Linked DNA regions of Ovis aries. The protein of the gene in region 6 interacts with the protein of the main gene of each other region in a pairwise test. Links are inferred from orthologs where the notes say so. Each region holds a gene or a part of one and is shown on either strand. Other genes may lie near its edges.

The links.
Region 1: the proteins of FATE1 (region 6) and SYNDIG1 interact in binary tests that used the Homo sapiens proteins (3 or more experiments, as listed by UniProt). The two-hybrid records come from large-scale screens. The link is inferred for Ovis aries from reciprocal best matches to the Homo sapiens genes FATE1 and SYNDIG1.
Region 2: the proteins of FATE1 (region 6) and SEC22C interact in binary tests that used the Homo sapiens proteins (3 or more experiments, as listed by UniProt). The two-hybrid records come from large-scale screens. The link is inferred for Ovis aries from reciprocal best matches to the Homo sapiens genes FATE1 and SEC22C.
Region 3: the proteins of FATE1 (region 6) and BNIP2 interact in binary tests that used the Homo sapiens proteins (3 or more experiments, as listed by UniProt). The two-hybrid records come from large-scale screens. The link is inferred for Ovis aries from reciprocal best matches to the Homo sapiens genes FATE1 and BNIP2.
Region 4: the proteins of FATE1 (region 6) and SMIM14 interact in binary tests that used the Homo sapiens proteins (3 or more experiments, as listed by UniProt). The two-hybrid records come from large-scale screens. The link is inferred for Ovis aries from reciprocal best matches to the Homo sapiens genes FATE1 and SMIM14.
Region 5: the proteins of FATE1 (region 6) and RPRM interact in binary tests that used the Homo sapiens proteins (3 or more experiments, as listed by UniProt). The two-hybrid records come from large-scale screens. The link is inferred for Ovis aries from reciprocal best matches to the Homo sapiens genes FATE1 and RPRM.
Region 7: the proteins of FATE1 (region 6) and GPR25 interact in binary tests that used the Homo sapiens proteins (3 or more experiments, as listed by UniProt). The two-hybrid records come from large-scale screens. The link is inferred for Ovis aries from reciprocal best matches to the Homo sapiens genes FATE1 and GPR25.

The regions. Positions count from the first base shown.
Region 1 is NC_056066.1:42,085,048-42,089,159, reverse strand, and holds part of SYNDIG1 (synapse differentiation-inducing gene protein 1), read right to left. Parts: intron 812-4,112; coding exon 653-811; 3' UTR 1-652. UniProt on the Homo sapiens protein: May regulate AMPA receptor content at nascent synapses, and have a role in postsynaptic development and maturation.
Region 2 is NC_056072.1:14,701,587-14,705,698, reverse strand, and holds part of SEC22C (vesicle-trafficking protein SEC22c), read left to right. Parts: intron 1-2,030; coding exon 2,031-2,149; intron 2,150-3,567; coding exon 3,568-3,633; intron 3,634-4,112. UniProt on the Homo sapiens protein: May be involved in vesicle transport between the ER and the Golgi complex.
Region 3 is NC_056060.1:48,740,403-48,744,514, reverse strand, and holds part of BNIP2 (BCL2/adenovirus E1B 19 kDa protein-interacting protein 2), read right to left. Parts: intron 3,354-4,112; exon of another isoform or gene 3,232-3,353; intron 3,017-3,231; 5' UTR 2,960-3,016; coding exon 2,910-2,959; exon of another isoform or gene 2,893-2,909; coding exon of another isoform or gene 2,849-2,892; intron 2,027-2,848; coding exon 1,959-2,026; intron 1,487-1,958; coding exon 1,310-1,486; intron 1-1,309.
Region 4 is NC_056059.1:59,422,849-59,427,421, reverse strand, and holds the start of SMIM14 (small integral membrane protein 14), read left to right. Parts: upstream 1-1,274; 5' UTR 1,275-1,497; exon of another isoform or gene 1,498-4,573.
Region 5 is NC_056055.1:156,127,411-156,131,423, reverse strand, and holds RPRM (protein reprimo), read right to left. Parts: upstream 2,190-4,013; 5' UTR 1,992-2,189; coding exon 1,662-1,991; 3' UTR 756-1,661; downstream 1-755. UniProt on the Homo sapiens protein: May be involved in the regulation of p53-dependent G2 arrest of the cell cycle. Seems to induce cell cycle arrest by inhibiting CDK1 activity and nuclear translocation of the CDC2 cyclin B1 complex.
Region 6 is NC_056080.1:84,015,623-84,020,351, forward strand, and holds the start of FATE1 (fetal and adult testis-expressed transcript protein), read right to left. Parts: upstream 3,073-4,729; 5' UTR 3,014-3,072; coding exon 2,905-3,013; intron 1,959-2,904; coding exon 1,843-1,958; intron 1-1,842. UniProt on the Homo sapiens protein: Involved in the regulation of endoplasmic reticulum (ER)-mitochondria coupling. Negatively regulates the ER-mitochondria distance and Ca(2+) transfer from ER to mitochondria possibly implicating it in the regulation of apoptosis.
Region 7 is NC_056065.1:78,882,847-78,887,423, reverse strand, and holds GPR25 (probable G-protein coupled receptor 25), read right to left. Parts: upstream 2,667-4,577; 5' UTR 2,588-2,666; coding exon 1,463-2,587; 3' UTR 689-1,462; downstream 1-688. UniProt on the Homo sapiens protein: Orphan receptor.

The DNA.
Region 1 (4,112 bases), on a different chromosome or scaffold from region 6:
GAGGAGGCCTGACATTCCTCGGCCAGGGACAGCGTGGAGGGAGTGATGTTCTGGGCCTGGGGGCGATTCTGGATTTGCATTCTCAGGGCTGGGCTCATCTGAAGACCCGTGACTGCTGGGGGTCCTTCCAGCAGCTGCTCTGTCTCTCCCCCTACCTGGCCTATTTCCTTCCCGCAGGAAAGGTGCTTGGACAGAGGGGGCGGTGCTGCCAGTGGAGTCAGGCAGGGCCACCGGCAGAAGAGCATGCGTCCCCCGCCCTCTTCCTGTTGCACCATATTCCAAAATAAATAAATAAATGAACACATGTTCCTGTTTGTCTGTTGCTAATGCTCTGGCATTCTGGGCACTGGCCATTAATCCACCAGGATCCATGCGGAGACAGCCTTGAGGGTCAGGATCTTCGGAGCATCCACTGGGAATGGGTCAGCGGTGCCCCATTTGTCCCAAGCTCTACACAGTGCTGTGAAAACGATATGAAAGGGTGAAAACAAAGGGAATCCATAAATCCCAGGGCTTCGTGGCGTCATTGGCTATGACTTACACTGTAACAGCCTCACACAGGTGTATCTCCACCTGTGTGTCCACCCTGGCCAGCCTTGCTCCTCTGTGCCCGCACACGACTGGCCCAGGCTCCTCGTGCGCCCGGGGAAGCTCATAGGTGGTTGCTCTTGGAGAGGTAGGCGATGAGGGCCACGGCCACGCCCACGTAGATGCCGGTCCCTATGGTGATGGAGAGCACAGCCAGGAAGAGGGCCCGCCGGGAGCTGGTGCTGGCCTGGTGGAAGTCCCCCTTGGCCACAGCTTTGTTCGTCTGCAGAGGGAGGAGGGAGAAGAGAAAGGGAGCCAAGATGAGCGAGGGGAACAGAGAGGGGACTGGCTGATGGGAGGCCATGAGTGCTCCCAGCCTATGGGAGGGGAGGCAGAGGTGCTGTCACTCACCACCGTCCCCTCTCCCCCTCACCTCTGCCCTGCAAGGCAGGCAAAGCTTAAGAGAAAGAAAGCGAAGCCCCAGGGATGTCCAGACCGGCAGTGGTCAGCTGAGCACCAGCCACTGGAGTCCTGGGTCTCGGGCACCAGGGTGGAGGGTGGGGACGTTACAAGTTGGTGCCTCCTTCTGCCCAGTAGACACTCGAATGATAGTTCTACAGGGTGTTCACACTCACCTCCTCTAGTCCTTACAGCATAGGGGCCCACAGGGAAGGAAACTGTAGTTCTTATACCTGGAGAGGAACCTGCCATCTAAGCTTGTCCAGTCCACTGAGGACACTGAGACTTCATTCCTCAGCCAGTGGCTGAGGATCTGTGTGCCCCACGTCCCCTTCCCGCCATGGAGGGGGTGGTAAATTCACCTACTGGAGAAATGACTCTGGGTGAGACCAACACCTCTATTTCTGGTCACCCAGTTGCACAACGACACGCTGGTTTCACTAGGTTCCCGATCTGTGGGGTCATGAGTTGGAGGGGAGCATGGAGGCTTTGGATGTCGTGTTGGATTTGATGCTTTGTGGGGTGCCCACCTCCCCACCGCCAGCCCCGTCCTCCTTGTCCCCTTGACAAGGGAGGCACTGGGCTGTGGGGACTGTACGTGATTCAACTGTGACATCATGGAGGGCCAGCTCTCTGAGTGATGGCAGGTGAGGGTGGAGGCCCCCCAGGGCGGGTGCCCCTGGAGCCCCAGGGGATGGCCAGGAGGGCTGACCCCAGGCAGGGGGCAGGGGTGTTCTCATCAAGGCAAAGGTGGAGCCTGCTCCCCAGGTGGGACATCTCGACTCCCTCAGGACCCATCTCCAGAGACCGGCCTCTTACCAGATCCCACTTCTGTGTGTGTTACATGTACGTCTACATTTTGTGGGCAGGATGGGAGGTGGCACACTGTTTACTCAAACAGCAAACTTGATGTGGTCAGAGGGCAGACTCAGAGGTCACTAGGAAATGGCTTTCTGCCCTCTGTGGTCCTCCCGCACCCACTCAGTGAGATGTCGGCTGGAAAAGGGACTCCTTATTTCTCTAACTTCTGGTTCTTGAGTTTTTATGTCTTCTTTCTCAATCTGGGGTCTTGGAAGTGGGCCTGGGGACTCCCTGTGGGTGATCTTTGATGAAGTGGAGTGAAGGCAACACAGTGGGAAGCTGCCAGGACAAGAGTGACCCTCTCGGGACTCTTGGTGGCAAGCCATCCCTGCTGGCATGTCTCACCCCTAAGGGGAAGACCCCACGGGGGCAGGCAGGGGTGGGGACAGACCACTGTCCCAAGAATGGCTCAGGTTTGCCCCACAGAGTACATCATAAAAGAACAGAGATACATGCCACCCCCAGAATGGCTCCAAGGGAAAGAGACAGCGGAAACCCACACTCTCATTTGATCCTGTTGAAAGTGTGAATTCCTGTAGATGGAGAAGAAAACAGATGAGAAGTTGAGCCTATTGTCATTAAATTGATTAAGGAGGAGTAGGCTTGTGGGCTGATTAGACTACTTGGGAAATGGAGCACTTGTTATAGCTGGATGTATAGACACACGCACGACACAGGTGTTACCCGCTCCTCTGCTGTCCCCGGCAAGCGCTCAAGGGAAATGATGCATTTGTGCACCAAAGACACCTTCAAGAATGTCTGTAGCCACACCGACTGTTGTAGCCCTGACCTGGAAGTCATCCCAACATCCAACCACAGCCGAAGAATAGATAGCAATGGTACCTGATGCAGTGGGCTTCCTAGGCGGCTCAGTGGTAAAGAAATCTGCCTGCCAAGGCAGGGGAGCTCTGTTGTGATGGAGGCGCTTAAGTCTGTGCCACCAAGCCTGGTGGCCACAGTGATGGAGGTGGTTAAGTTTGCGCCACCCAGCCTGGTGGCCACAAGTCACCTGTAGCTTCAGAGCAGTGGGGTTGTGGTGAGTGTGACTGTGAGTTTTTAATATCATCTGATTTAAATTAATTAAAATGTAAATAGCCAAACGTTAGAGGCCACCATGTTGGGTAGCAGACACCCAGAAGAAATGAGCAGAGGGTCCCACGGGGAGCAGGGAGGAGAGGAAGCTCAAAGGAAGGGGGCAGGATGAACCCAAAGGAGGTGGAAACCCCGGAGGGTTGGTTCAGGCATCAGTGCTGGGGAGCTGTGGTGGGGGGTGTCCCGCAACCAGAAACTGTTCCACATACACACCTGCCTCTGCATTTACCTGTGAATTTGTTTTGGTGGCTCAGTGTCAGGCGGAGATAATGAAACAGAGGCAAGATAAAGGAGGCTGGGGTGACCCTGTGAGGGGGGAAGGCCCATGAAATCTGCAGATGATGGGAGCCTTAGGACTGGGGCATGGAATGAGCATCCCGGCCGAGGCCCAATGGCCTTGCTCCCAGATGGAATCTCTCAGGGGCTGATGCTGGTCTCCAGGTCTCGTGACACGTGGCAAAGCCCAGAGCTCCATCCCTGCTGGGGGATACCTCCCCCGAGCCCCCTACCCCTGGGAGACGATGCTCCCAGGGTCTGGCACTGGACTGATTTTCCCACAAGCTTTTGCCAGAGTCCTCATTTCCTTTGGCTAAGAAATATCTACTGTTGTTTGAGGTTCAGGAAAAACATGACTTTCTCTGCAATATATCCCTGCTTTGGTTTTCTTTCTTTCTTTTTTTGATCACATGGGTTGGGGGATCTTAGCTCCACGACCAGGGATCAAACCTGGGCCCTGGCAACGAAAGCATGGAGTCCTAAGCGCTGGACCACCAAGAAGTTCCCATTGCTTTATTTTTCTTATGGTATTTTGTATTTTTATTATTAATGTTATTTCTATGGTCTCTTATTTTAGGGGCAAGAACCGCTGAGGTTGGATGAGTCCACATCCACGTGGCTCTCTGCTTGGGTTGAGGGGCCGGGTCCAGGCACAGCTGGGGCAGACTGGGCAGGACACAAGGCTGGTGCCAGACTCCCACCTCCAAGGAGCGCAAGGGACACACTCTCTGCCTCCCAACCACCTCTCTGGAAATTTAGAGAACGCTGGGCACTTTATGGCTCATTTTTCCTCTAGCGCCATATCTGTTGGGCTGGATTACATTTCCTTGCATTATCGCAAAGCTGATTTCCTTTCTTTATTACTGTCTCCTGCTCGCTGTGCGCCAACGGGCACT
Region 2 (4,112 bases), on a different chromosome or scaffold from region 6:
TGCTGTAGTTCGTGGGGTTAGAGTCAGACATGACTGAGCAACTGAACTGAACTGAAGGAGATGTTCATTCTCTTTTGCTGGAAGTCACTTGTTGAATAGTACAGATTTGTACATTCTCTCTCTCTTTGCTTTTTTCCTTTAACAGTGAGTCCTTATCTCATCACTACAATGGTGAAACATTGCAAATCTCCACCAAGAAACCCCCACTCCTTGATGGAGGGAGTGGAGAGCTGTGGGGATGAGAGTGGGCAGGGGTCAGGACCAGGCCTACTGGACCTCTCGCTTTTGGGTTCTCTGTGGGACCCAGAGACATCTCTCTATCCCTTCGGATTTCTGAGTCCTTGTCTGAGGAATGAAGTGTTGATGAACATATTCGCAGTGCCCTGGCATCCGTGACTTAGTCTGCCGCTAACAACATGAAGCATTCAATACCTGGCACATAGCAAAGCATGCTTTTTTGTATTGTTTGTTTACAGTTATATCCAGTTAAACCAACTTGGATATTTGCATTCTAAGAACTCTGTAATAGTATAATCCTTCCCTGGAAGATAGAACCATCTATGCTATAACAGTCTAGTCACTTTGTTAACAGTTTTATGCTAAACTCATTGCTTGAATTTTGAAAGTGGTGTTTTTAAAATGTTTGCATTTTTTGGCTTAACTTTGGTTTTTGATTTGAACTATTTCAACCAGTGAGTTCCTGGATTGACTCTTATGCCCTTCAGTCAGTTGTTGTAATTTACACTGGGATTGGACTTCACATTCATGGAAGGACGACTGGGGCATCAGACCCCAGGCTTCTCCTTTGCTGTACCTGAAGGCAGGGTCACTTTGTGATGTATGTTTTGTTTTTTAACCACGTAGACAAGAGGAGCAAATGCGGAAGGTGACAACTTGCCTATCTTTCTATGACGTTTTACTGTGGTTTGACTCCCCCACTATTGTCCCAAGTCTAGAGTCTTAACAGGTAGCTCTGTTCTGAGAGGAATTTTGATAGTTTAAACTAACACACTAACAGTAGGCTTCAGTTGGGTTGTTATTGTTGTTGTTGTGTATGTGTGTGTGTGTGTATGCATATGCGGGAAATGGGAGGACAAAAAAGGATGATTTAAAAGGAGGATAGCAAGGACTTCCCTTGTGGTCCAGTGGCTAAGACTCCACAGTTCCAATGCTGGGGACTGGAGGTTCACCCCTAGCCGGGGAACTAGGATCCCACGTGCCGAGTGGCACAGTGAAAAAATAAAATTAATAAAAGGAGCACAGCAAGAGAATGGGTGGGACCCTGCTTAATGGTGTGAACCAGAATCAGTTTCAGCAGTTATCTTTAAAGAGGGAATGATCATATTGTCTTGATTAGAGTTCTGGAAATAGCTTGTAGCTGAAGTAATACATGTGTCCCTCCTCTTCCCAATAACTTTGAAATTTTAAAAATCACATTTGCTATGAATTGCTCCAGAAGCACACAGGACATTGAATATTGTCCCTACCAGAAAAAGAATGGAACATTTTACATGCTGATGGTTGAAGTGTGTAATAGAAAAGCTTTAGGGTTTGACAGCCAATTTACAACTAAAGCCATAAATAGTTTTAAATCTGGATTTCTCAACCTAAGCCCTACTGACATTTTGTACTGGAAATTCTTTGTTATGGAAGCTGTCCTGTACATTGTAGCAACCTGTTCCCAGGGAGGACAACCCAAAATGTCCCTAGACATTGATTGAAGAGCCTTATCATCTCTGGCTGAGAACTGCTGGTTTAAATAGAAAGGAAATGAAGCAGTTAAGAAAATCTATCCTTGCTTAGAGAAGGGGCTCTTTCTCGAAGAAATTCACCTTGAATTCCCAGATCCTTTCTGTCCTTCATCCCTTGCCTTTTCCCACTCTAACTACAGCTGCTTTTTAAATTAATAGGTTTGCAATTGTGTGTTTAATTGAACTTTTTCATTAGCAGAGATCTAGTTCATGTTTTTACTTTTTTTTTTTCATATAGAAATTGTTTTCACTAAACACTTCCTTTTCTTCCTTATGAAGCTCCTAGTTTCCGAATGGAACCAGTGACAGCCCTGGGCATCCTCTCCCTTATTCTCAACATCATGTGCGCTGCCCTGAACCTCATTCGCGGAATTCACCTCGCAGAACATTCTTTACAGGTAACCTTTTCTGTACAGTTTAAATAGAAAGACACGCAATGGAAGGAGCAGATGTGGGTGCATATTATTTATAAGGTTATTATTCACTATGTTTTAAAAATTGAAGTAAAATTCTTACTTCTTGTTTTATTCTTCATAGTGAGTTGAGCAAATAAGAAACTTGCTCTTTTGTATTTGTTTTGCTGAGAAGCCAAAGGGGCTGCTGGAATACTGGTGAGAAATGGACAACTTGCTACAAGGACAGCCGGCCACCCTGTGGCCCTGGGGACACCGAGAGTCCCTGCAGGGGCTGGATTGTTCATCCCAGGCAAAGTTTGACTCTCAGAGTTTAAGATTCAGGCCCTTTTTCCCCTGGTAGAGTTGTCTCATAATCTGATTTATATCATTCAGATGGATACCAGCCTTCCCGTGTCTTTGTCAAAAGAACTGTATCACTATGAAGTTGATTTGCCAGCCTGCTCATCTCAAAGCAGCTTTTTATTCTAATGCTTTTTACTTATTATTTTTAAATTTTGAAGTATTTCAAGCACTTAAAAACAAGCATGGAACCATTATGAGCATGAACAGATAGATGTTAACTTTAAAAACAGAATTGGGGATAAGTAGATGCTAACTATTACATTTAGAATGGATAGACAAGATCCTACTGTTTAGCACGGGGAACTGTATCCAATCTCCCGAGATAAACCATAATGGAAAAGAAGATAAAAAAGAATATATGTGTGTGTGTAACTGAGTCACTTTGCTGTATAGCAGAAATTAACACAACACTGTAAATCAACTATCCTTCAATTTGAAAAAAAGCCAGAGTCACACCCAAGCCCATGGTAGCTAAAATCTGAAGTGCAGCTGAGGTTGAATCTCAGGGGCCTTACAGAGACCAAGGTGTTTGGGGAATGGCAGCATCCTGGGCCCTGAGTGGTGGCTGGCTATTTCCACACCCCATCTTTGGCCAACATGTGCTATGGTTCCCACTCTTATTGTTTATGATAACTCATAAGCAGATACTTACCAAATGTCTGTATGCACTGGAACAGGGGTTCGTTGCTCAAGACGTAGTGCCTCAGGGCACATAGCAGAGTATGGTGACATCACTAGGAGGTGGGAGGACCTGGGGAAAGTTAGTACTGACAGATGAGTTGGATTTTGAGAGGTTGGCGGGGCTGGGGGTGGGGACATTCCAGGTTGCGGGCTCAGCACACATGCATGGGAACTGGACGTGCTTGGTGTGTCCAGGCCATTCAGAAGGATTTTATGTCACCCCCTGGTCTGATACGTGAACAGGGGCTGGTTTCTCACCCAGGCGGGGATTTTGTACTGTTGGTTATACCAGACCCAATGCAGAGTAATGCACTTCATGTCACAGTGTTCATCCCCTCTAACTATTCCTTTTCTTGTGTTCCTCTTATTTGTCTTAGGTTGCACATGAAGAAATTGGAAATATTCTGGCTTTTCTGATTCCTTTTGTAGCCTGCATTTTCCAGGTAGGTGAAATGTTGATGTTTTAGTGAGTGGGTTAAACCCATTACCTTATTTTGCTCTGTTGGAACGATCAGTGAATTTCCAGATCCTGCTTTTGTTCCACCAAGACATTGGTTCACATCATGGACAGTCCCAGCCCTTAGCAGAACAACTTTCCACCCATCCTGTCCACTCCTCTCATTGTACAGAGAGAAGACTTTTGGGCCCAGACAGGGAAAGTCATTTGCCCTAGGTCTCAGGGACTTTGACAGTGCAGGACAGAAACTAGAAACTGGGACTGGGCTCCCAAGAAGTGAGGGATGAGACTGCAGTGGGGATTGGGTTGGGCCTGACCAGTGTGAGGCAGAGCCCTGCCTTGTGCTTATTGCTGGGCATCCAAGTCCAGAAATGTCTTTCTGCAGAACTGATGCCTAGGTATATATGTTTTTTTTTCAGTCACAGGACTGGGAAAAAAATTGTTGTTTCTAATAGAAATACCATC
Region 3 (4,112 bases), on a different chromosome or scaffold from region 6:
GTTGACAACACTGTCCTTGACAGATAGTTACCACTATATTAACTAAAGCAACTCTCTGGGGGCCAATGTTTTTTGCTGTTGAACACATAAATTATTCCCCAAACATTATAATACCAGATAGAAAGTGGTTAACAAGTCAATGGTTACTTCTCATTTGATCAGTTTCATAAAGCAGAAAATTATTTGATAATATTCCAAAGTGTACATGCAAAAGTCTATTTTAAATTGACATTAGCCAAAGCACAAGCACCAGTGATTAGGTATAATTTACAGTTTAAGGTTGCATTTTAGCTGATTTTTCATGATGTAATGATTTTCAAAATTTTAGTATCACAGTCCTTACCAAAAGATGGGGGAAGGGGAAACCTACTGTATGTTAGTTGTCTGTTTCCAAGACAAAGTTGTTAACGGAAAATATCCTTCCAGGAAATGACTACAGCAGCATTAAAGAAAGAAGAGACAAAACACATAGGCAGAAAACTATTTCAGTATCTTTATAAAATATTGTTTACTACTGGATTGCTTATTGAACCAGTAAAATGGGGAAGAAAAAAGAACAAAAGATAAAGTAAATTAAGAATCTTACTCTTTACTGCGGATAACATACCTAGTGCTAAACTTTTGCTTGGAAGCAAAAGACACTTAAAAGATGAAATATGCATATATAAGTTATTCCCAACTACAAAGATACTAGACAGCAATTATCTAACTAAAGGAAGCATGCAATGCAAAACACATGCCAATTCCTTTCAATTCCAAATAGCTAATGATAACAAATCTAAGAGTGGAGTCAAGGAGACTACATTAGTTCAAGTTGGTCGTTTACAAAGTGCAGCACTATCAGATGAACCCACTGAAAAAAAAACCCTCAAAAACACACCTCAAAACCATCCCTATAGAACTCCCTCTCTGCAAATTCTTAACTACTTTTAAGAATTCCCTGAAATATGTTTTTCAGTGCTTTCCCTCTTATTTAATCCACTGAATAAAAGAACGCTGTAATTATCAAGCAATATTTGGGAGCAAAATGGAAAAACATAATTTTATAGCACTGGGCAATTAAAAAAAATAATAAAGCCACAGGTAATCTACTATAAACAGTTTGGAAAGCCATAATATTCAACGTTAGCCAATTTTTATATCTTTACAACCTATACATGAACTTTAGAATTGATAACATCTCATTTCAAAAAAATCCCTTAATCACTGATTTTAGTTGGTTTCATGATCAAGTGAAAATGCCACTGTGCATATACATGAACACAAACAATCATTAATAAAGGTCAGGTAAAATCAACGAAACACCTACCTTCCCACTCAAATTCATTACTGTCATCCGATGGTGTATCTAGGTCATCTAAGTCAATCTCCCCACTTTCATCCAAATCATCTGACAACACAGAGCCATCACTAGGATCCAGAGTTAGGCTAATGTCGGGAGCCATTAGTTTCTTTCTCACTTTATTGCCATTAACTTCTAGCGAGCCTGGAATGGGTTAAAAAGAAAAATCAAAGATATATTTAGAAAAGATGCTTAGATGCATAAATCGAATAAGAGAACTTTAATCACTTTATTCTTGAGAAAATAACATTCATTAAACAATTCCAAAGCCCTTACGTACAAACTTTGGACTTTGATCACTACTGTTTCTGTATCACAGCAAGCTGACACATCCCAGCAAGGACATACTTTTTTAAATAACAGAAGCAAAACTTCCAGTCACTGTTTACTACTAAAAATCATCTTCCCTCTCTCCTTCATGATCAAAATTTCTAAAACCCAAGGGTATGTTTTTGCAAAGTATTCCAAAGCATTCCAAAAATGCTTTCCTAAACAGTTAACTTACCCTTTGGCACCCTATGATGGAACAAAAACTGAGTATATTTTATATCTTGACAAAGTGTGTTAAAAAGAAATACCACAGATAAAAGTCTATTTCTAAGTGTCAAGTTCTTACCAGGCTGACTCTCTGGTCCAGTTACAGCTAATACATCTGCTTCAATACTATCATCTTCTGGTAAAGGTCTAAAACACACAGACATAATTTTTAACCCAGAAATTAAAAAAAAAAAAATCTTTTGACATTCAAAGATCTATTAAAATAGCTTATAGAAACAATTATGTAGAAAACAATGTTTCTTAAGCTTGAGTAATTTACAAACTACTGTTAAAGAAAAATTTCAAACTGTCTCAATTGATTTACATATCTATATAAGTAACACATAAAAGTAGGTATATATTCCCTATGTAACAGCTCTTGAATACAACTACAAAACAAATTTTAAAAATCATTACTTTACAAAATGAATATGCTTCAAATGCATGAATTTAATGGAATGTACAATACAATGTACGATGAAGCTAAACTGTCACTTAAAATGGGAATATGCACATGATGATTATGTTTTTGAGCTCAGCACTTCTGTACCACGATTATCATGCTGTGCTATGCAATGACTCAGTACTCACCAGCTGTTCCTATTCCAACTGCTAAGTAACCTTCTTATGCACTGAGATGGTCTTCTGACCAAAATGGCACAGAAGTATCCCTTAAATATACGGTCTGCCTTTGCTCTCTCTCTCTTACCCTAACTAGTGCCGACAGAATCGTAAACACAAACACAAATGTGTCACGGTAGCTCACCAGATAATATAGAAAGCTTTCCTTGTCTAACTTAACAAGTTTTTGTCTTAAAATAAAAGCATAAAATTTAATAATTCCTGCAGGCTTCTAAAGACCATCTTCCTCTAGAAATTCTGAAGACTCTATTATTAGTACTAAATGAACATTTTGCAACACTGGGTTTCTTTAAGAAGTCCAATCAATATTCATTTAGTAAGTGACACCTCAGTAAAGAAGTAGTGAAGTTCTGTTTTGAATCTGTTTTCATTTAAAAACGTTGCTCACATTGGAAAATCTTCATCTTGCCATTCTTCCTTAAGTTCTACACCTTCCATCCTCAGTCTGGACTCAATGTCAACTACAAACTCCTGATAATCGAGAGTGCCAAAATCCTGTTAAAAAAAAAAAAGAAAAGAGAGAGCAAGAAAAAATTTCATAGGCTTATTTTCCACATTATCTGTTGAAAAGATGCAATAATCTTATATTTGAGTTCACACTTCCACCCCGATCATGAAATAAATTTAGTGGGTTGCAACTACTCCTTTCCATTCCCCTCCCCCCGCCCCAAGAATTAGAAGAGTCAGAATACATATATTCTAGAAATTACCGTTTGTGATAAGGGTGCTGTGCAGTGAAGTACTTATTCCACACGTATACATGCATGTGTGTGTCCAGGACATGATTCACCATTTATTAGGTACTGTGAATTATGGAAAAGCAATTTGGGGGCTGAGGAGCACAAACAATAAAAGTAAATAAATATATTCTCTATTCTAGACCCATCATCAAATTTTCTGTCCTTTGGAGAGAGGTTAATTCTGGAAATTGAACACTAGTAACTAGCATTTATACTCTTAATTCAGCAGAGCCCACGTGGTGTGCTGTCTCTAATATTTACTTCTCCATAATTCCAATGCCACAATTTCTGAGCCGCTTAAAGAGGGCTATTCAGTACCTGTTCAGTAAATGAATTTTGCCATATTTTTATTTGTTTCATATCTATACCAAGCTTTTCTCATGTACTTTAGCATGAGTTTTCAGACACTGACCGTAGTGAATATTTCTATTCATGCCACTACATGTTTTAACTTAGTTTCAGTTTTTCTAAGGAAGGATATGGGTGTTACTATCCTCAGTTTACAAAATGACGGATCTAGAGTTTGGCAAGGTTGATGGAATATGAAAGAGAGGTTTAAATATATTTAAGAAATCATTAGGTCAACTGGTTAACATTACAACAAAAACTATGGTACCTTGAGGGGGCAGGAGGTATAAATGGAATATCTGATTCACTTACATTAGAGTAAATCAGTAGATGACTAAACTTAACTTAAAAAATGAAGTAACTCCTGAGAAATCTGTATGCAGGTCAAGAAGCAACAGTTAGAACCGGACATGGAACAACAGACTGGTTCCAAATTGGGAGAAGAGTAAGTCAAGATTGTATATTGTCACCTTGCTTATTTAACGTATATACATCGTACATCA
Region 4 (4,573 bases), on a different chromosome or scaffold from region 6:
ATGCTCTCCTTCAGGGGACCTTCTGGACTCAGGGATCCAACCGGCCTCTCAAGTCTCCTACACTGGCACGTGGGTTCTTACCACTGAGCCACCTGGGAAGCCTCATAATATTTTGGATAAATCAGGTTAAATATACTATTAAAAAAAAAAAAAGCAGCTCTCACAGATTATACTAATTCACTGAAAGTGACTCAGCTAGTCGAGGTGATAAACCAGACACTGAGGTAGAAGTCCAGGTTAGGCGAAAAGGTCAACTCAGAATAAGGAAGGCAGTTCCTTAGAGCTAACTTTCACCTCTCCTGCACGATAGGCAAATAAGCACCTCTGTAAAATCTTTGGAACTGACACTTTTCATTTAACCACTAGTCTCGCTTTAATTAAAGCCTGTCCATTCATGGACCTAAGAAAACAAGAGTAGCCCGAAGTTTTCCCAAAGTGGGAAACTTCTCGGGCCTGTTGTTCAATGGGGAGACCTAAGAAGGCCAGAATGAGAGAGTAGGAAGCATCACCTTGGTTTAGAAAGAAATGAGGTTCTCACACCATAAGTATCATCCTTATTTCAGTCCCGAAGATCAAAGCAACAAAGGTTAGAGCTGACTGCCTAACAATAGCTTTCCTCTCCCAGTTCCCCATTATCGCTCTATCAGTCCTGCATTCCCGTAACACTCCTCTTGAACTGAATGCAGCCAGCTTTCCGAGCGCAGTTTGCCTCCGGGACAGGGGATCAATAACTGCCACGTCTGTCATACTTTTGTTTATATAAGACCAAACCTCGATCTCCAATTTTCACCTGGGCCTGAGTGATCCAAAACAATCTCTACAAGTCTCATCAGACACCACCTTGCGCCCCCACCTACCACTACCCCCGCTATTCTAAAGCCTCCAGCTGAGGAAAGCCATCAGCTTAGGCACCACTACCCCCGCTATTCTAAAGCTTCCAGCTGAGGAAAGCCATCAGCTTAGGCACCACTACCCCCGCTATTCTAAACACTCCAGCTGAGGAAAGCCATCAGCTTAGGCAAAGGGAGACACACTGTCTACGACACACGAAACAGAACCTACGCGGGCCACTTCAACAAACGCGGGGCCTCGCCCTCTCCATCACACAACGTTGCGCCCCACCCCTCCCAACCGGAACTGCAACTCCGGCGTTCCGTGCCCCCTCGAACCGCGTGACGCTCGCGGCCGCCCCGCCCCTCCGGACCCACTGGGCAGGCGCGGGGCGTGCGCATGCTCGGCAGGGCGGCTGCCTGGGTATTGAGCCGCTGCAATCTGTTGCGCCGCCGCCCGCGGGAGCCGGCAGATCCGGGTCTCGTGGCTTAGAGTGACGTGGTCAGTCGAATCAAAACAGAGGAGGGGAGGAAGCCGGCGGCCAGGAGCGGCGGCGGCAGCGGCTTCCCGAGCAGCCGCAGCGTTCCGGAAGCTCCAGGCGGTCTTTCTGCCGAGGCTTAGTCCGGGCCCCCATCCTCCCCGCCCCGTCGGTTGTTGTCTGGGCGGGTGAGTGTCTCCCATTTCTCCCACCGCCGTTTGCCGGCCCACCTTCCCCTCGCCCGGATTTTTCCTGGGGGCTCTGGCGGGCTGCGGCGGCTGCGGCAGTGCGGGGCTGCTTCTCGGGCTCAAGGGGTCCCCAACCGGGCTGGCGACTCTGCATCGGGAGAAGCCCGCTGCTGTCGAGCCCGCGTCCTCCGGCGAAGAGCCTGAGATTTGGCTTTCTCTGCAGGAGACCAGAGTCGGGACTTGGCAGGGAAGTGGACGGTAGCCACGGGTGGTTTTATTTTTAGGGCAAGCAGTCAACTCGGGTGGAGGCGTATAATGGAGTAAAAAGAAGAGTGAGTGAGTCGTAGCTGGAAGGAATCCCTCACAAACCTTGCAATCTTCACTAAATCATTTACCTCTGTTTCTCAGCCCTTGCCGATTCTGATGTAGTCACCGGGATGCGTCCTTTGTTGTGATTGATGAGACTAGAAAGCTGCCATCCAGAAAGCGGGAGCTTTTAGCCCTTATAGTGTTGTGAATTTAAAGGATTCCCTTTTTCTGTTTGTTCAGTACATGGAACCAGAGCTGACAGTAAAGAGGTGGTACCCTTTATTGGAACAGATAAAGTGCGATAAACTGGTTACCGGAGTACCCGAAGTCCCGTGTTACCATTAGAGCCAGTTTTCCGAAGTGTCAGTTCGTGTGTGTATTAGGATTTTAGCCACAGTGATGTTCGTTAGCTGGAGAGCGTCAATAGGGTGTTTTCAGTTGCCCTAGTTTACAGAATCGAGGATGTGGCCTTAGGAGAATGTCTTGGCTTTGCATAGAGAAAGTCGGATGAGCTTCCTGCACGTAATACCCACGTTTAAAGAGATCTTCCAGTTACTGTGTTTTGTCAGAAACCGTTGGCAGCGTAGAATAACTTGGACGGCGTAAGCCCTTCCAGGGGAAGTCTTGAGCCCCTTAGGAGGCGTTCTCACTGCCCAGTCTGTGGAGCCTGCAGGTTTGTGTTCCCTTCCACTTTAGATGACCCGCCACGCAGATTCTTCTGGGGTAGCCTGCTTCGAGCCCTGCCACCCTCCGCGCCTTTCCACCGGATGAATGAGACCAGAAGACCAAACCTCTGTTTTGTCCTTAGTTTTTTAAAGTTTTTTTTTTTTCCCCCTCCAGAGAATTCATTAAATTGAGGTGTTTCTTTAGCAAAAGGCAAGAAAGAGAGCTATGTATTAAATTGATTGTCATTTATCAAATCCAGGAAGAGGTCTTAGGAATTTGAACTACTCCCTTGAAGGGTATATTATGTCCTTGTGTGGTATAAAATGGACCTCTTCCTAGCAGGTTTCTTCCTTCAGCGTGTGCAATCGAGATCTTTTTTTCTTAATACCACAGTTGGAATGCTGCTGATCGAAACAAATGAAGTTATGTTTTCTTGAAGTTCTTTCTCTTTTTTTATTTTTTAAGCTAACCTATACCGAAATATTTTTGTTTGTATGAAATAATTTGTGATAATTGGAGAAAATGTTGATTAAAGCAGATAAATGAAAAAAAGAAGAAATGTCATCGATATTCTTGCCATCCAGAGACCACCAGAATGTCAGCAGTGGTTTATATCCTTCCAGACTTTTTTGCATTTAGATATTTTATACAGAAATGGTATCATACCTCATGTTCTTCTGTAACCTACTTTTTCACATATTAGCACTTCATTTTTGAGTAACATTACAATTTTTATAGATACTCTTGGACCTTAACTTTTATAGAATATTTGCTGTGTGTTTGCCAAACCATAATGATTAAAATTATGGTTTTAAAAGATTTCCTCTCAAATCTCTCATGATGATATTATAAGATTTATGAAATCAGTATGCATTGTGTGACAAACAGACTTTGCTTGTTTAACTCTTGGGAAAACAGGCACAGAATAGCCTGAGTTAACACTATGGAAGTTTGAAAAACTTTTGCTCACTTGGTGATTTGATTTAGTTGCCATAGCTCCTGTATGTCCCAAATGTTGACCAGCTGTCCATGCCTCCAGCAGTAAGGTCCTAAAAGATTTTACTTTATACACTTAATATGCTTTATGAACACTGAGTCTTGGATGTGTGCCTGCTTTTAGTTCAGTGCTTTATTAGTGGTGCCAAAAGAGAAGCAAGGTTCCCTGCACCTCAGCTTCAAAGGATAAGTACTTAAGAGTATCCTCGGAGAAGGCAGTGGCACCCCACTCCAGTACTCTTGCCTGGAAAATCCCATGGACGGAGGAGCCTGGAAGGCAGCAGTCCATGGGGTCGCTGAGGGTCGGACATGACTGAGCGACTTCACTTTCACTTTTCACTTTCATGCATTGGAGAAGGAAATGGCAACCCACTCCAGAGTTCTTGCCTGGAGAATCCCAGGGACGGAGCCTGGTAGGCTGCTATCTATGGGGTCACACAGAGTCAGAGATGACTGAAGTGACTTAGCAGCAAAGAATACCCTAAATATACTAATAACCCACTTGGGTCCCTTAGTCATAAACTTACCTACATGTGCCTTGAATGGTAGTGTTCAATATGTATTCTAGATTTGTCCACTTCTTCCCATCTCTACTGCTACCGCCTTTGCCAACTCTCACCGTATCTCACCTTGCCTACTGCAGAAACCTCTGGTCTTCCTGCTTCCACTTTGGCTTTTTATGGTGCATCCCCTTTCCCACAGGGAAAGGGATCCTGTAAAATGTCAGATCGTGTCACCCCTTTGTTGAAAGTCTCTCATCACATTCAGAATAAAATCCTACCTTTCTCAAGGTTTGCCAGGCAGTAGAGGTCTAGGCACTGCCTTCCTCTATCTCACCTTGTATCCAAATGCCTTGATCAGTACCCAGGAGTCTGGCAACAGCAGTTTCTTCCTGTGTTCCAGCTGCACTAGCATTGTGCTAGGGACTTGCCAGGTTTGCTCTTGCCTCAGGGCATTTGCACTTGCTCTTCCTTGTGGCTTCAATCTTCTCCCAGATCTTCGTGTAGCTGATTCCATCCTGTCATTCAGGTCTCAGTTCAGCTATTGTCTCTTCAAGATTGCTTCCACAATTATCTCACCATTCTGTCATTTTCTTTATAACATC
Region 5 (4,013 bases), on a different chromosome or scaffold from region 6:
TCCGGCCAACTTCCAAGTTTGGGTTACACACATCTATGACATTCAGAACCTCGGTTAACTCCTCTGAACCTTTTGGCTGGTCCTGGGACTGATTACCCAGGTCGCGTTTATCTTCTACTTTCGCCCTTCAGATATAAAATGTAATATGACAAAGGCAATACACGCTTGTTTTTAGTAACAATGGTGTACCCCGGGGAGAATCAGCGTCACTCTGTCACTCTGTACTTTAGGAACTACTTTTCCTCGTCTTTTTTTTTTTTTTTTTTTGATCAGAATCCTGACGCTTGCTGGCTGACGTTGGTCAGGAGAAGATGCCCTCCCTGAAGCCTAGCCAAGCCGTCTCTTCCTTTCATTAGCGGTGTAACCCTGTGTTCCCACCGGAGCCCTGCACGGAAGTGTAATCTTCCCGCGGGGGCCTCCCGTTTTCTCGCCTGGCTCACAGCGCTGAGCCTAAATGAAATATAAAATATTAACTGAAAGGGAAAACAAAGGATGCTGCCTCCAGGACGGGTCCAGGGCCTGAGACTTGGCCAGGGCACTCGTCCCTGGGCCTCTCTGTCTCGCTCCCCCCCCCCCCCCCCCCCCCCCCCCCCCCCCCCCCCCCCCCGCCCCTCCGTTGTGCCTGCGTAGGATCCGCGAGTTGAATCGCAGCTCGCCAAAGCGAATTCCACTTAGGACTGGTAACCTGACCCCTCAGCGTCGCCCGTTCCCTTCTGCCCAGAGAGTAGAATGATCACCAGGAGGCCAGGAAAAAAAACACTTAAACGTTGCATTTATTAAGGAAATTTTAAATAAGAAAAAAAGAAAAGTCAAAACGGTGTCACCAATGTCAAGAGCACTTTTGTGGTGTAAACCGTGCAGTCACGAGCTAGGAGTTCTATCCCGGATCTTTGCCCGGGGCCAGCTAGAGTGCCAGTCCCCGTCCCCCCCCCCGCCCCCGCCCCAGACCCAGTTGGAAATGCAATAAAAGAATTGTCACCCCATTCACATTCGCAGGCTCCCCTTCCACCACCCCTTCCCCTAACACAAAACTCTAACCCCCAGGCAGGGAAACAGGCCACTAGGGCGGAAAAAGACTTATCAAATACTTGTATTCAAGCAAACAAACACAAAACCCTTTAAAACGTCACGTTACAATCAATCAAAGGTATTTATCGCCTGTCCTGCCGGGGCTACAAGGAGCTGGAGGGAATGCGCGCGAACCCGGAGACGGTTTGCGTGTCCCCGATAGTTCGGTTAAGTGGCATATATGCGGGTCACTTTTCCGGTCACCAGGCAATAGGTGCCGTTGGTCTCCGCCTGCCCACCCTCTCCACCTGCACCCCCGAGCTTGGCCCACCTGCGGGTGGAAAAGGGCCTTGGCCTGGGTCGGTGTCCCCGCATTCTGCGCTAGCGGCAGCTTCCAAAGTTCTGCGCCCTAATCGCCTTCTCTTGCCACTTGCTGCTGAGTCCAGAGTCAAGGCTCTTTTTTCCTACTGCCAGGCCTGGGGACTTTCAGAGGGCGAGCGATAAACGGGTTCGCTTCATCCCGAAAGGCAAGAGTCGAGAGAAAAAACTGACTCCGACAGGTTTGCTTCGCCCAGTCGCGCATGGTGAGAGGGCGCGGCCGGGCTGGCGAGGTGGGGAGGCGAGGGGCGGCTGCCGCGGGGGCCGGGGGCCGGTCAGTAGGGCCCCACGACCACCGCCTCCACCTCCTTAGACGGTCTCCGGTCCTTCACCAGGAAATTGATCATGCCCTCGGACTTGATGAGAAGGTTGCAGCCCAGGAAGAAAATGCCGAAGACCACGGTGAGCGAGAGCACGCACATGACGGCGATCTGAACCACGCGCATGATGTACAGGCTGCGCTCGTCCGGGCCGCCCTCCGCGAAGCCGTCGTCGGTCACCACGGACGCCTGGGTGCAGCAGCGCACGGCGCGCTCCAGCGCCTCGCTGCTGTTGGCCAGGAACAGGCCGGCCACGTCGGTCTGGTTGCCCAGCGCCGGATTCATCGCGGGAGCGGGCGGGCGGCTCGGGAGGCGAGGGTCCGAGGGGTGGGAAGGCGGTAGCGCGGCAGAAACAGGTGAGCTGAGCGCTCACTTGTGGACTCGCGCGCGCGGGGACCGCTCGCTCGCTTCTTTCCAAAGTCCCCGGCTGGTGAGAGTTTCGCCGGAGCCTTCTCGCCGCGCGCCTCAGTCTGGCTGGTCTGCGCCGTGTGCTTCTGCCCGGGCGGTGCTCGTTCCCGGCGCTCGCTCGACTAGGGGCTGTTGGAACTTGGCGGGGCTGGGCCAGCCGGGCCGTGGGAGGTGCGGACGGCGGCGGTAGGACAACTGCTCTGAGCCCAGAGCGGCCCCTTCTGGCCGCACCGCTGCTCTGCGCCCGCCGCCGCTGGGCGGTGGGGGAAAGGAATGGGGCGAACCTCTTATTTTTCCTTGCTTCGCCACTTTTCCAGCTCCAAGGATAGGCAGAGATCGCTTTTCTGGCTTGATGGATGATTGAAGAGTTTCGGGTGGGGAAGGGTTGCGACCAACGGAAAGTTTCTTAAAAACTGGGTCACACAAGCTCTGCGTGTCCTTGGCCTCCCGCCTCCCTCACCTCCGGGAGGTGGAAAGTGGCGATGAATCGCAGGTGGCAGATGGTGTCAGCGAATACATGGGCCCGCCGCCTGTTCCTGACTTTGTCTCGCTTGCGACGAGCCGGGAGGGAAGGAAGGAGAGAAAAGAAAGAAAAGAGGGAGAGAGGAAAGGATTGGAAAACAGAGTAAGGCAGATTTTCTAGAGACTCTTGGGCAAAAGAAAAGGGTTTAGGGAAGGAAGGGTTCTTCTGTGGCCTTTGTGGTTGCCAAGAACAGGGTCACCTCCTTGGTAAGGGAGGGAAGGTGGACAGAATGGCTACCCTTGTAATCTCAATTGCAAATGAGTTTTTGGATGTGCTTCCAATGTTTTTCTCTGCTGGCAGTAAATCAGTTGTTTAAGGAATTGCTCATCAGGACCCATCACCTAGAACACTGGCCAACTCCTGGAAGATCTCCCCATTTTCCGTAAGCTGATATATTTCTCCCTAGTCATTTTAAACGAAGCTACAGATGTTTTAAGGGCCTGATTGAGACTTCAGTCCATTATAATTCCTCTTCTGGTTTCAGTGAAATGTTACAAACCTGTCAGATTGTTTATTGAGCCCTAGAAGAGTACTTCAGTTGTTTTTTTTTAATCTTTCCTACTCTTTTTCTTCCCTTCACTTCTTCCTCTCTCCCTTCCTTTTTTCTTTCTTTCAACTGTAACAGCTGAAACCAATAACTTGAAGGCCAGTTCAAACTTTTCATAGAATACATTTATTAAATTTCTGTTAAAATGCAGTAGCCATTTTCAGCTCTATTCTCAACTCCATTATATTTGCTTGTTAAACCCTCTGATTTTTGTCTCCTCAAACATTATTTATTCCATGTTCAAAGCTTTCCTTAAATGTTTTGTGCTACTTTGTGACCACAATAAAATAGAGTGAACTGTATTTTAGTGAAGAGTTTCCAACTCTGGGATGTTGATTGTATACCAGCTTCAATAAGTTTAGATGCTTCTAAGTAGCTAATTTTATTTTGGAGGCGAAGACCTAGGCTTCTCGGCCTCATCCATAATTCATCTGGTTTATTGCTCTAATTTCCCATGGTTATAATTGCCCTGAAGAATGCTCCAGTCCCAATAATTTCTTATTTGGACAAATTTATTATTTATTGATTGGAAAAAATTATTTGAATCTCACTATACATTCAGCCTGTCTTAGTTAATATGGGTGATACTTAACAGCAAAACGTAATGCGTATGTGAAAAATTAGAGAAGAACTTAAGATAATATAAAGCAAATACCACAATGAATGGTGGAGGCAAGTAGTTAGAATTTAGAAAAGCAAAAGGTGGAGAATAGAGGTCATTTACAGGAATATTGAGACTTCCCAAGTAGCACTAGTGGTAAAGAACCCGCCAGCCAATGCAGGAGCCAGAGATGTGGGTTTGACCCCTGGGTTGGGAAGATCCCCTGGA
Region 6 (4,729 bases):
TGGTTTTTCCAGTAGTCATGTATGGATGTGAGAGCTGGACTTTAAAGAAAGCTGAGTGCCAAAGAATTGATGGTTTTGAACTGTGCTGTTGGAGAAGACTCTTGAGAGTCCCTTGGACTGCAAGGAGATCCAACCAGTTCATCCTAAAGGAGATCAGTCCTGGGTGTTCTTTGGAAGGACTGATGCTAAAGCTGAAACTCCAATACTTTGGCCACCTGATGTGAAGAGCTGACTCATTTGAAAAGACCCTGATGTTGCGAAAGACTGAAGGCAGGAGGAGAAGGGGACAATAGAGGATGGGATGGTTGGATGGCATCACTGACTCAATGGACATGAGTTTGGGTAACCTTCAGGAGTTGGTGATGGACAGGGAGGCCTGGCGTGCTGTGGTTCATGGGGTCACAAAGAGTCGGACACGACTGAGCGACTGAACTGAACTGAACTGAATGCAACAACATGGCCACCATTTTCTCTACAACATTCCCTCATATGGTTAGTATAATTTTAAAAATTCATTACAGAGGAACAAAATGTAACTCGGCTGATTTTCTAGAACATCAGGTCTTCCTGCCTCTCCAGTCAATTTGCCTTCCCTCTACCTCCTATAACCTTTGCAACAGTAAAACAACCATGTTTCTAAAATTGCCAGCATCTGCAGCAAAAGTAGCTTACTTATCAGATGGGCTACAAAACATGAGACTCACATGATTGCCTGGAACACTCAGGTCTCCCTCCTCTCCAAAGGTGTTGCCCTTTCCCAGTAAACGTGCAGTGGTTTAACAACTATGTTTCTAAAATTTTCTGTCACCCAAGATGAATGTAGTTAAAAGAATTGGCTACAGAAGGATGATGGGATTCATGTGATTCCCAAGAAGAGTCAGGACTTTCTCTTCTCCAAAATGACTGCCTTTTCTCAGTATCTTTTGCAACAGTATAGCCACCATTTTTTCTAGAACATTCCCTCACTCATATAGAATGTAACTTAAAGGATTGGCTACAAAATGCTCAGATTCAATTGACTGGATTTCCTAGTAGCCAGAGAGCATAGGCATTTCACTTGCCTTACCCTAGTCCCAGCCCTAAGATAGATATAGATACATGTATATCTATATTTATATATGCTTAGAGATATATATACAACCCTGTATATTCATTGGAAGGATGGTTGCTGAAGCTACAGTACTTTGGCCATCTGATGCAAAGAGCCAACTCACTGGAAAAGACCCTGATGTTGGGAAAGATTAAACGGAAAAGGAGAAGGGGGCAGCAGAGGATTAGATGGTTAGATAGCATCACTGACTCAATTGACATTTATTAGAGCAAATTCTGGGAGATAGTGGAGGAGAGGGAAGCCTGGCATGCTGCAGTCCATGGGGATTCAAAAAGTCAGACATAACTTAGAGACTAAACAGCAACTATATATATATATATATATATATATATATATATATATATATATAATGATTTTTATACTTTTGCATATTTCTATATAGAAATATATATAGAGAGTAGACATAACATATAGATATATACATATATACATATAGAGATTCAAATATAGATATATTTACTAATTTATTAATAAAAGAAAGTAGATATGTACTCCACAAGCAATGTGTGTTTCAGACATTCTGGACCCTCAAGGTTGAACTAACAAAGAATGGCCATGATCTCTTGCCAGACCTTGTTGCCCTCATTTGCCTGCCCAGAACACAGGAGCTTTGTCCTTCCCCCAAAGTCAACATCTGCCCTGCTTGACCTACCATCTCCATACCAGAGCTGCTACAACTGTAGCAAACTCCCCCAAACTCAAGCTAGCCACCAAATGCCATACAGTACCACCTTCTTGGACTGGTTTGCAGCCATATTCCAAACCGCAGCAGAGCCAACAGCCTTTGGATCCACCTTCTGTCGCCGCTGAGAAGCACCCAGCAACCGAGATATATGCTCCTTCATTTCTAGGGAGAAGAACAGAGGCCCAAGGAATACCCATAGAGGCTATCCCAAGGTTTCATGGGCACAGAACACACCAAAAAATAGGATAGGGTCCCCCAACATCTTAGGAAGCACTCAACACCCATTCTCTGGCATCTACTGGCTAATCTCAGGTCTCAATTTCTTCATGTACTCAAAATATAGTAAGTGTTTACTGAGTGTCAAGCTCTGGGCTAGGTTCTTAAAGAGCAAGCAATGGCCAAGAAATAAGATCACAGCAATAAAAAATTGATTGTTTGTGTGTGTACAGAGAAAGTGGTAACGAGAGTGGGGGTTATAGGAAATAATCCATCAGTGCAAATCAAGAGATGCATGCTCCCAAAACAATAAAAACAGGATAACAAGACAGAAGGAAGGGGATACTTCTAGAAAAGTCAGAGACAACACTGAGGCAGAGACCTGAAAGAGAAAGAGTCCAGCCATAGAAAATCTGAGGAAAGAGGGAACACATAGTGAAAAGGCTGTGAAGAAGAAAGAGTCTTGGGATGTTACAGGACAGGCTTAAAGGCACTGTGGACTGAGTCAGCATGCCACAGCAGGAAGTATATTGAGGAGGTGACCTTATGTGGATCTTGTAGATCATGGAAAGGAGCTTTACTCTAAAGGGCAGAAGAAGGTACTGGAAGGTTAGGAGAGAGAATTGCTTTGAATGATCTTATAAATTGAACCCACTGAGTGTTTTGCATTAAGATCCACTGGTGGCTTGCAATGGGAGGGGTGTTCATCCAACCTTCCCCGTCACACGCTACAAAAGGCTCACTTTTATCAATCCCATTACCTCACACACAGGTACCCACAAATACATGCAAACACACATTCATGCTTCTGCCAAGCCAAACCTGCGCATTTTCTAACATGCATGCACAGGTGTAGATACCCAAGGGAAGGGACATTACGGGGGATCCTCACCTGCTGCCACTGAGCGCTCTTGGTTATCCCTAAAGCTTCCAAGAAGCAGGTCTTCATCCTTTGGCACTTGCATCTTTTCCTTGAGGTTAGGGACTGCTCCTCCTGCCATCACCACCAATTGTAAGCAATGGCCAAGAAGGCACAGGGTCCAAGGCTCGGAGGAGGCTTGGGAAATCAGCTCTCTGCGGAAGATATATCTGGACACAGGGGTGGAGCCAGACTCCCACTTTGAGTTCAAGCATTAGACCCAGCACCTCCTGTTCCTGCTGTATCTTGCTGGCTGGGTTCAAGGTCTTCTTCTCTGCTACTCTGTAAGCAACTTAGGAGAAGCGATAGACTCTGAATCTTTGCCTGGGAAAGCTGCCCTGGCTCTCAGCTCATCCGATTTGACCTCATTTCTAGATAGAGGGAGGGGCTGGCACAGGACTCCAGAGTTGGTCAGTGGCCAAAGCAGGTTTAGATCCCACCGTGGTTTCTGCAAGGCCAGCTTTGGTTAACAGTCCAGGCCATAGCCCCCTTCAGAAAGCATCCTCTACAGAGCACATCCTGCCTTACCCCATCCAGAATTCCCAGGCAAGGGACATGACTTTTGACACCCTGGATCATCCTGGACAGGAACCATGAAAACCAAAGGAGAGATGTGCAGAAGAGGGGCCTGCTTACTGGAGCCTCCAGTGTCCCCAGCCCTGCACCCCCTATTCTAAGTCAAATTTTCCCTCAGCTTCCCTACTGAATAGACCTCAGTGGTCATGTTTATGGTCCATGTGGCTAGCCTAAGGTCTCCAGTTATTCCATCACGTGCTGGTCTAGATGTTTCTATCAAGGCACTTTTTGTAGCTGTTGATGTCTATAATCAGTGGACTTTAAGTAAAGGACATTGTGTATCCTTGATACTGTGAATGGGCCTCATTCAATCAGCTGTAGGCCTTAAGAACAAAGACTGAGGTTTCCCAGAGAAGAAATTCTGCTCAAGACTACACCTCAACCCCTCCCTAACATTCCAACCTGCTGACTTGTCCTGCAAATTTTGGCCTTGCTAGCTCTATGATGGCATGAGCCAAATTCTTTAAATAAAATTTTCTTTACACACACATATATGCATAGTGAGTCAGTGGTAAAAAAAAATCCACCTGCCAGTTCAGGAAACCCAGATTTGATCCCTGGGTTGAGAAGATCCCTTGGAGAATGGAATGGCAACCCACTCCAGTATTCTTGTCTGGGAAATCCCATGGCCAGAGGAGCCTGGTGGGCTACAGTCCATGGGGTTGCAAAGAGTCAGATATGACTCAGTGAGTGAGTGCAACAATACATATACATACACATACATACCTCCTATTGGTTCCATTTCTCTGGAGAACTCTGACTCATACAGCCACCGAAGGTGAACCCTCAGCTCTTGGGAATAGCCTCAGAGCTCCTGAGGAAGAGGAGGCTATTTGTAAAGAAACCAAGCACAATTGGGGCCAGGTGGGAGGGAGAGGAGGACAGGGGGAGGGGGAGGAGAGGAAGGGAGGAAGGAAAAAGTGAGGGAGAAGAAAGTGAGGGGCCAACTCCCTTAGAGAGGGCGGCTGATCTGGGTTGCCTAACCCCCTCCCTGGTCCCACCTGTCCAGTGCTAGGAACAAGCTCTCTAGAACAGAGCTTACAAAGGCCCTGCCTGCATTCCTGAGGGCCCAGGAGAAGCCCTTTCCAGCTCTGGTGGAGCAGCTGTGATGAAATCTGAGCTTTCTGAAGGGTCACCTTAGGAGAAAGAAGTGTGCTCTGTGGGACTTACGAGCCTGCAAAGCAGGAACCAGCCATAGGTTTCTGGCAGGCCTGGGTTGCCA
Region 7 (4,577 bases), on a different chromosome or scaffold from region 6:
CCTGCCAGCCCGGTGACCCCACGGCTGCAAGGCCTGCCTCCCTTGGGGTGTGGGGGGACAGGCCTGGGTGTGTTTCTTCCCAGTGTTACCTCCTAGGGCAGCAGATGGGCGGTGTGAGTCTGCTCTAACCCAACAGCCCCAAAGGCTGCCCTCCATGCCTGGCGCAGGCCTGGTGAGATCGGCTCTCCAGGAGAATTCCTGAGTTCTTTCCTGCACTGACGTTTCTTTAGGCCATATCTGCTTAAAAGTATAAAGGCTGAATTCCCAACCCCTCCAGAAACCCCCAAGGATGCCGCAGACTCAGAACATGGATGCCCTTCAGCATTTGTCCTGGATGGGCCCAAAGGGAGTGAGGAGAAAGCTCCACCAGGATTTGACAGCCACAAGGCCACACTTCCGCTTTGAAGTGACACCTGGCTGGCAGCTGTGCTCCAGTCTTTTCCCCCTCCCTCTCTCTCTGAAACCTCCAAAATGGGAAACGTCCTTTAAAATAGTAAGAAGAGAAGACAGGCTGCCCTCCTGGGGGGCCCACGGCGGGGCCGCTGTCCTTAGCCCAACTTGACACCAAATCCTGACCACTTTGAGGTCAGCCTCAACTCCTGGATTGAGTTTTGTCTGACCCAGTGATTAAGTGGCCCCCTCACACTCATTTCAGTCCCTTACACTCAAGTAAAGGCAGACACAGCTGTCGGGTGAGGGCAGCAAGTGTTTATTGAGAAAGGGGAACTCACACTGCGGGGCCCAGTGTGGCAGCCGGTCAGAGCATCCGAGTGCCCGGGGACAGATGCTGGAACCCTCTGTCTGCAGGGAGGCACCCGCCCAAGTCCAGGGTGAGTCCTGCGGCTTCTTGGGAGCTGGGGAGATGAAGGACGGGCCTCCTGGGGTCGCTGGCAGCAGGAAGGGGTGAGCGCGACAGCACCGTGCTCCCCATGCTTTGGTGAGTGTTGAAATTGAAGATGCGGACGCGTGACTCAGCACAGCCACCAAGACGGCAGAGCGCAAAGGTCCGGGATTCTTTGGAGAGGAGCCAGAGGGTTCGGCTTGGAGAAGGTATTTCTCAGCAGGCAATGGCGACTGTAGGGACCAAAGGTAACGGGCCGCCGAGACGAGAGTGGCCTCTGGGCGTCTCTCCCAGGGCGCAGAGCAGGGAGGCCACTTCCCTTTCCGAGCCCGGGTCGGCGTGGCAGGTCCATCTCGCAGGACGTTTACTGCGCTGGAGACAAAGCTCAGGTGCGCACTGGGCGGAGCAGGAGGAGAGCGGGTCTCCGGAGCCGAGCCGGGGGTTGGGGGGGGTGGACGCTGGAAGAGCTGAGATTTTGGGAAAGCTCGTGAGGGAGACCCCGGGAGGCCCCGCGCACCCGGCGGAGCAGTCCGCTGCGCTCGGGGAGGTGGGGAGGTAGGCGGCGGTGGGGAGCGGCCCGCTTCGCTTCCCTGCGCCACCCGCAGCCCGCCGGCCGAGCAGCTACGGGCCGACAGCCTTGGGGGCGCTCGCCGTCTGGGCTCGGCCGCCCGCGCGGGCCGGGCTCCTGAACGGGGAGCCGTCGTCGCCGGAGAGTGATGACGCCGAGCTGCTCCAGCGCGCCGGGCGGTCGGCGCGCCCGCAGGCCCCGCGCTGCCGCAGCTGCGCGCGGAACGAGCGGTCGAGCAGCAGGTAGATGAGCGGGTTGGCGCAGCTGTTGACGAAGGCCAGGCAGGTGGCGACGGTGAGGCCCCAGCGCAGCGCCAGCAGCAAGTGGCAGGGCAGCGGCAGCGCGCCCAGGCTCGCCAGGTGGAAGACGGCGCGCAGGGCGCAGAAGGGCAGCCAGGAGCCCACGAAGGCGCCCTCGACGGCCAAGATGATGCGCAGCGAGCGGCTCCGCGCGCGGCCCAGGTGCGGCGGCCCGCGCAGGCGGCGCGACACGCGGCAGTAGCAGACGACGGTGACGGCCAGGGGCAGCACCAGGGTCAGCAGCAGCAGCAGCAGGCTCAGGCCCTGGAAGGCGTCCGACGGCTCCTCCCCGCACTGGCTGCCGTGGCCCCCGCCGGGCAGCGGCCGCAGGCGGCGGAAGGCCAGCGACGGCAGGCCGGCGGCCAGCGCCGCGGCCCACACGCCCGCGCAGGCGGCCAGCGCGCAGCGCCGGGAGCGCGGGGAGCGCGCGGCCAGCGGGCGGCCCACGGCCAGGTAGCGGTCCACGCTGAGGCCGGCCAGCAGCAGGGCGCCCGCGCAGCGCGTGCCGGCCAGCGCGAAGCTGCTGAGCTTACACAGGCCCTCGCCGAAGGGCCAGCGGCCACCCCGCGCCGCCGCCGCGGCCCACAGCGGCAGCGTGAGCAGGAAGCCCAGGTCGGCGGCCGCCAGGTGCTGCACGAAGGTGTCCACGAGCCGCCGCGGGCCGCGCGCCCCGGACAGCAGCCACAGCACGAAGGCGTTGCCCGGCAGGCCCACGGCGAAGGCCGCCAGGTAGAGCGCAGGGATGTAGGCGTGGCTGTAGGGCAGGTCCCGCGCCGCACACAGCTCCTCCAGCTCCAGCTCGCCCGGTGCGCCCGACCCCGAGTAATAGTCCCAGGGCGCCGTCCCCGCGCTGGGGCTCCAGGGCTCCGTGGGGCTCATGGCCGGAGACGCCCGGTGGCGGTAGCGGGGCCAAGAGGGAAGGTGGCTCTTCACGGCCCGTGCCCAGCCCAGCACCTCCCTTCCTGCCGCCGCGGGCCGAGGCGAATGGGTGGGCAGGAAGGGGTGGGGGCGGGGGAGGGGCAGGTGCCTGGGAAGAGAGGGGGGCGAGATTCGCGGTGGGGCGGAGGGCCGGGGAGGTGGCTTCCCAGCTGGGTCTTTGGAAGAAAAGCTCCCGGCTGGATCTGCGCCCTGCCTCCCGTGGGAGCCTGACCTGTCCCTCATCAGTCACTGGTTTTATTGAACTAGGAGTGTCAACGGTTTCAGGGCCCGGAGGCCCGGTAGAACAGGCGCTCAGAGCCTCAGTCCCTCTCACCCCTTCTTGGCTACCGGCTACTGTCTGTCTCTCTCTTAGGATTTTCCCCAAGGAGGTGCCAGCTGCCAAGATTCCCCTGGCCTCTTTGCAGAGCCGGCGCGTGGAGGGAGCCTGCCCTTGGGGGCCTCCCTACAGTCAGGGGCTGAATACCAGACTCTCCGATGCCGTTAGCTCCCTGAGCTGCTGGGTCTGGTGTCTTAGCCCAGGGTGGCATTTCTGACCAGCTCAGGTTCTCAGGGAGCCACGGGGAGGGTTTGCACCTGAAGAGGGAGGGTCAGCCTGTCCAGATGAGGCAGCAAAGCCTGGAATCTAGACCCCAGCCCTTCCCCACCTTCCTTCCTGGGCAGAACCTACCTAACGGAGCCTATGGGTGCTAGGCCCGGAGCGCAAGATGGAGCAGGACTCAGCGGCAGAGGCGTTGTCCTCAACCAGGAGTCGGGAGTTTCAGAGGAGGACGGGATCCCTTGTGGACTGAGAGGCAGGAAGGATTCAGAGAGAAGGGTGGGCATGTAGCCTGGCCTTGGAGGCGGCGGTGGGCCAGGGACAGGATGGGGGCAGGGTTCCCGAGGATGCTGGGCATTGTCGGGCCTCAGCTCCTCTTGGCACGTCCTCCCGCGAGCTGCTGCAGTGAGCTGTGACAGTGAGTCCTCCACAGAGCCGTGCCTCATTGTCACCAGGAGTGGATGAGCGGTTGGGTCATCTGGCGTTAAAAATTCGAGGAGGGTTATTTTTCCATTTTATTCCGTACAGCCCTGTTACAGCAACCGCCTCCGTGTGGCAGGCCCCGTTTTGGGTGTCACAGGAGATGCCGGTTTTGACCTTGGAGGGTCACTAATCAGGCCCCAGAGACAGATCTGTATGTCCCATGTGCAGTGGCCGGCGTGCCAGAGGTCACACGTCCTGGTGTGAAGGTTAATGAAGTCCCCCTGGAGCTCGGAGGAGGGGGCAGCCCCTCTGACTGAGGAGGAAGTCCTGGGTCTTTCCTGGCACCCGAGGTGGGGACTGAGAGGCCCCTGGACACGCGGAGGGGGCAGAGCCCACCTGCACCCTCAGGGCAAGTTAGTGCCAAGCTGTGGAGGGACACGCAGAGGCCACAGCGGAGCCCCGCGGTAGGCTGCTGTTGCGTGTGCAGGGGACGGGGAGTGTCAGACAGGGGACCGGCAGTGGGGACAGAGAGGAGTGACCCATCTCAGAGGCCCGAGGCGCGGGGCTCTCGTAGTCGAGCAGGCGGGCAGGCCTGGGCGGCCGGCGAGAAACGACGCAGGCACCGTCCGCCCATCAGTCCACTGAGGCCGGGGCCGCAGAGAGGCGTGTGTGTTGCGTTCTGTTCTGTGTTGATTGGAGTGGGGTGACGGAATAATTTGCAATCCACGCCAGGCCCTTCTGAGGGCGAAAGCAGCCTTAACGACCGTTGACCTGGGCCATCAGGCTGGCCTGGGCTGAGCAGACGGGGACATCACGTCTCCCTAGCTACAGCCCCTCTGTCTGCGAGACACCCGGGGGAAGAAAATGCCAAGGGGCAGGTGGGGTGTGAGCACACTGTCCCCAGGAGGGGTTACTGCACGACGGGAAAGGCAGGCGAGGGCTGAGGCAGGGGTCAGGAGGCCTTTGGCCTGC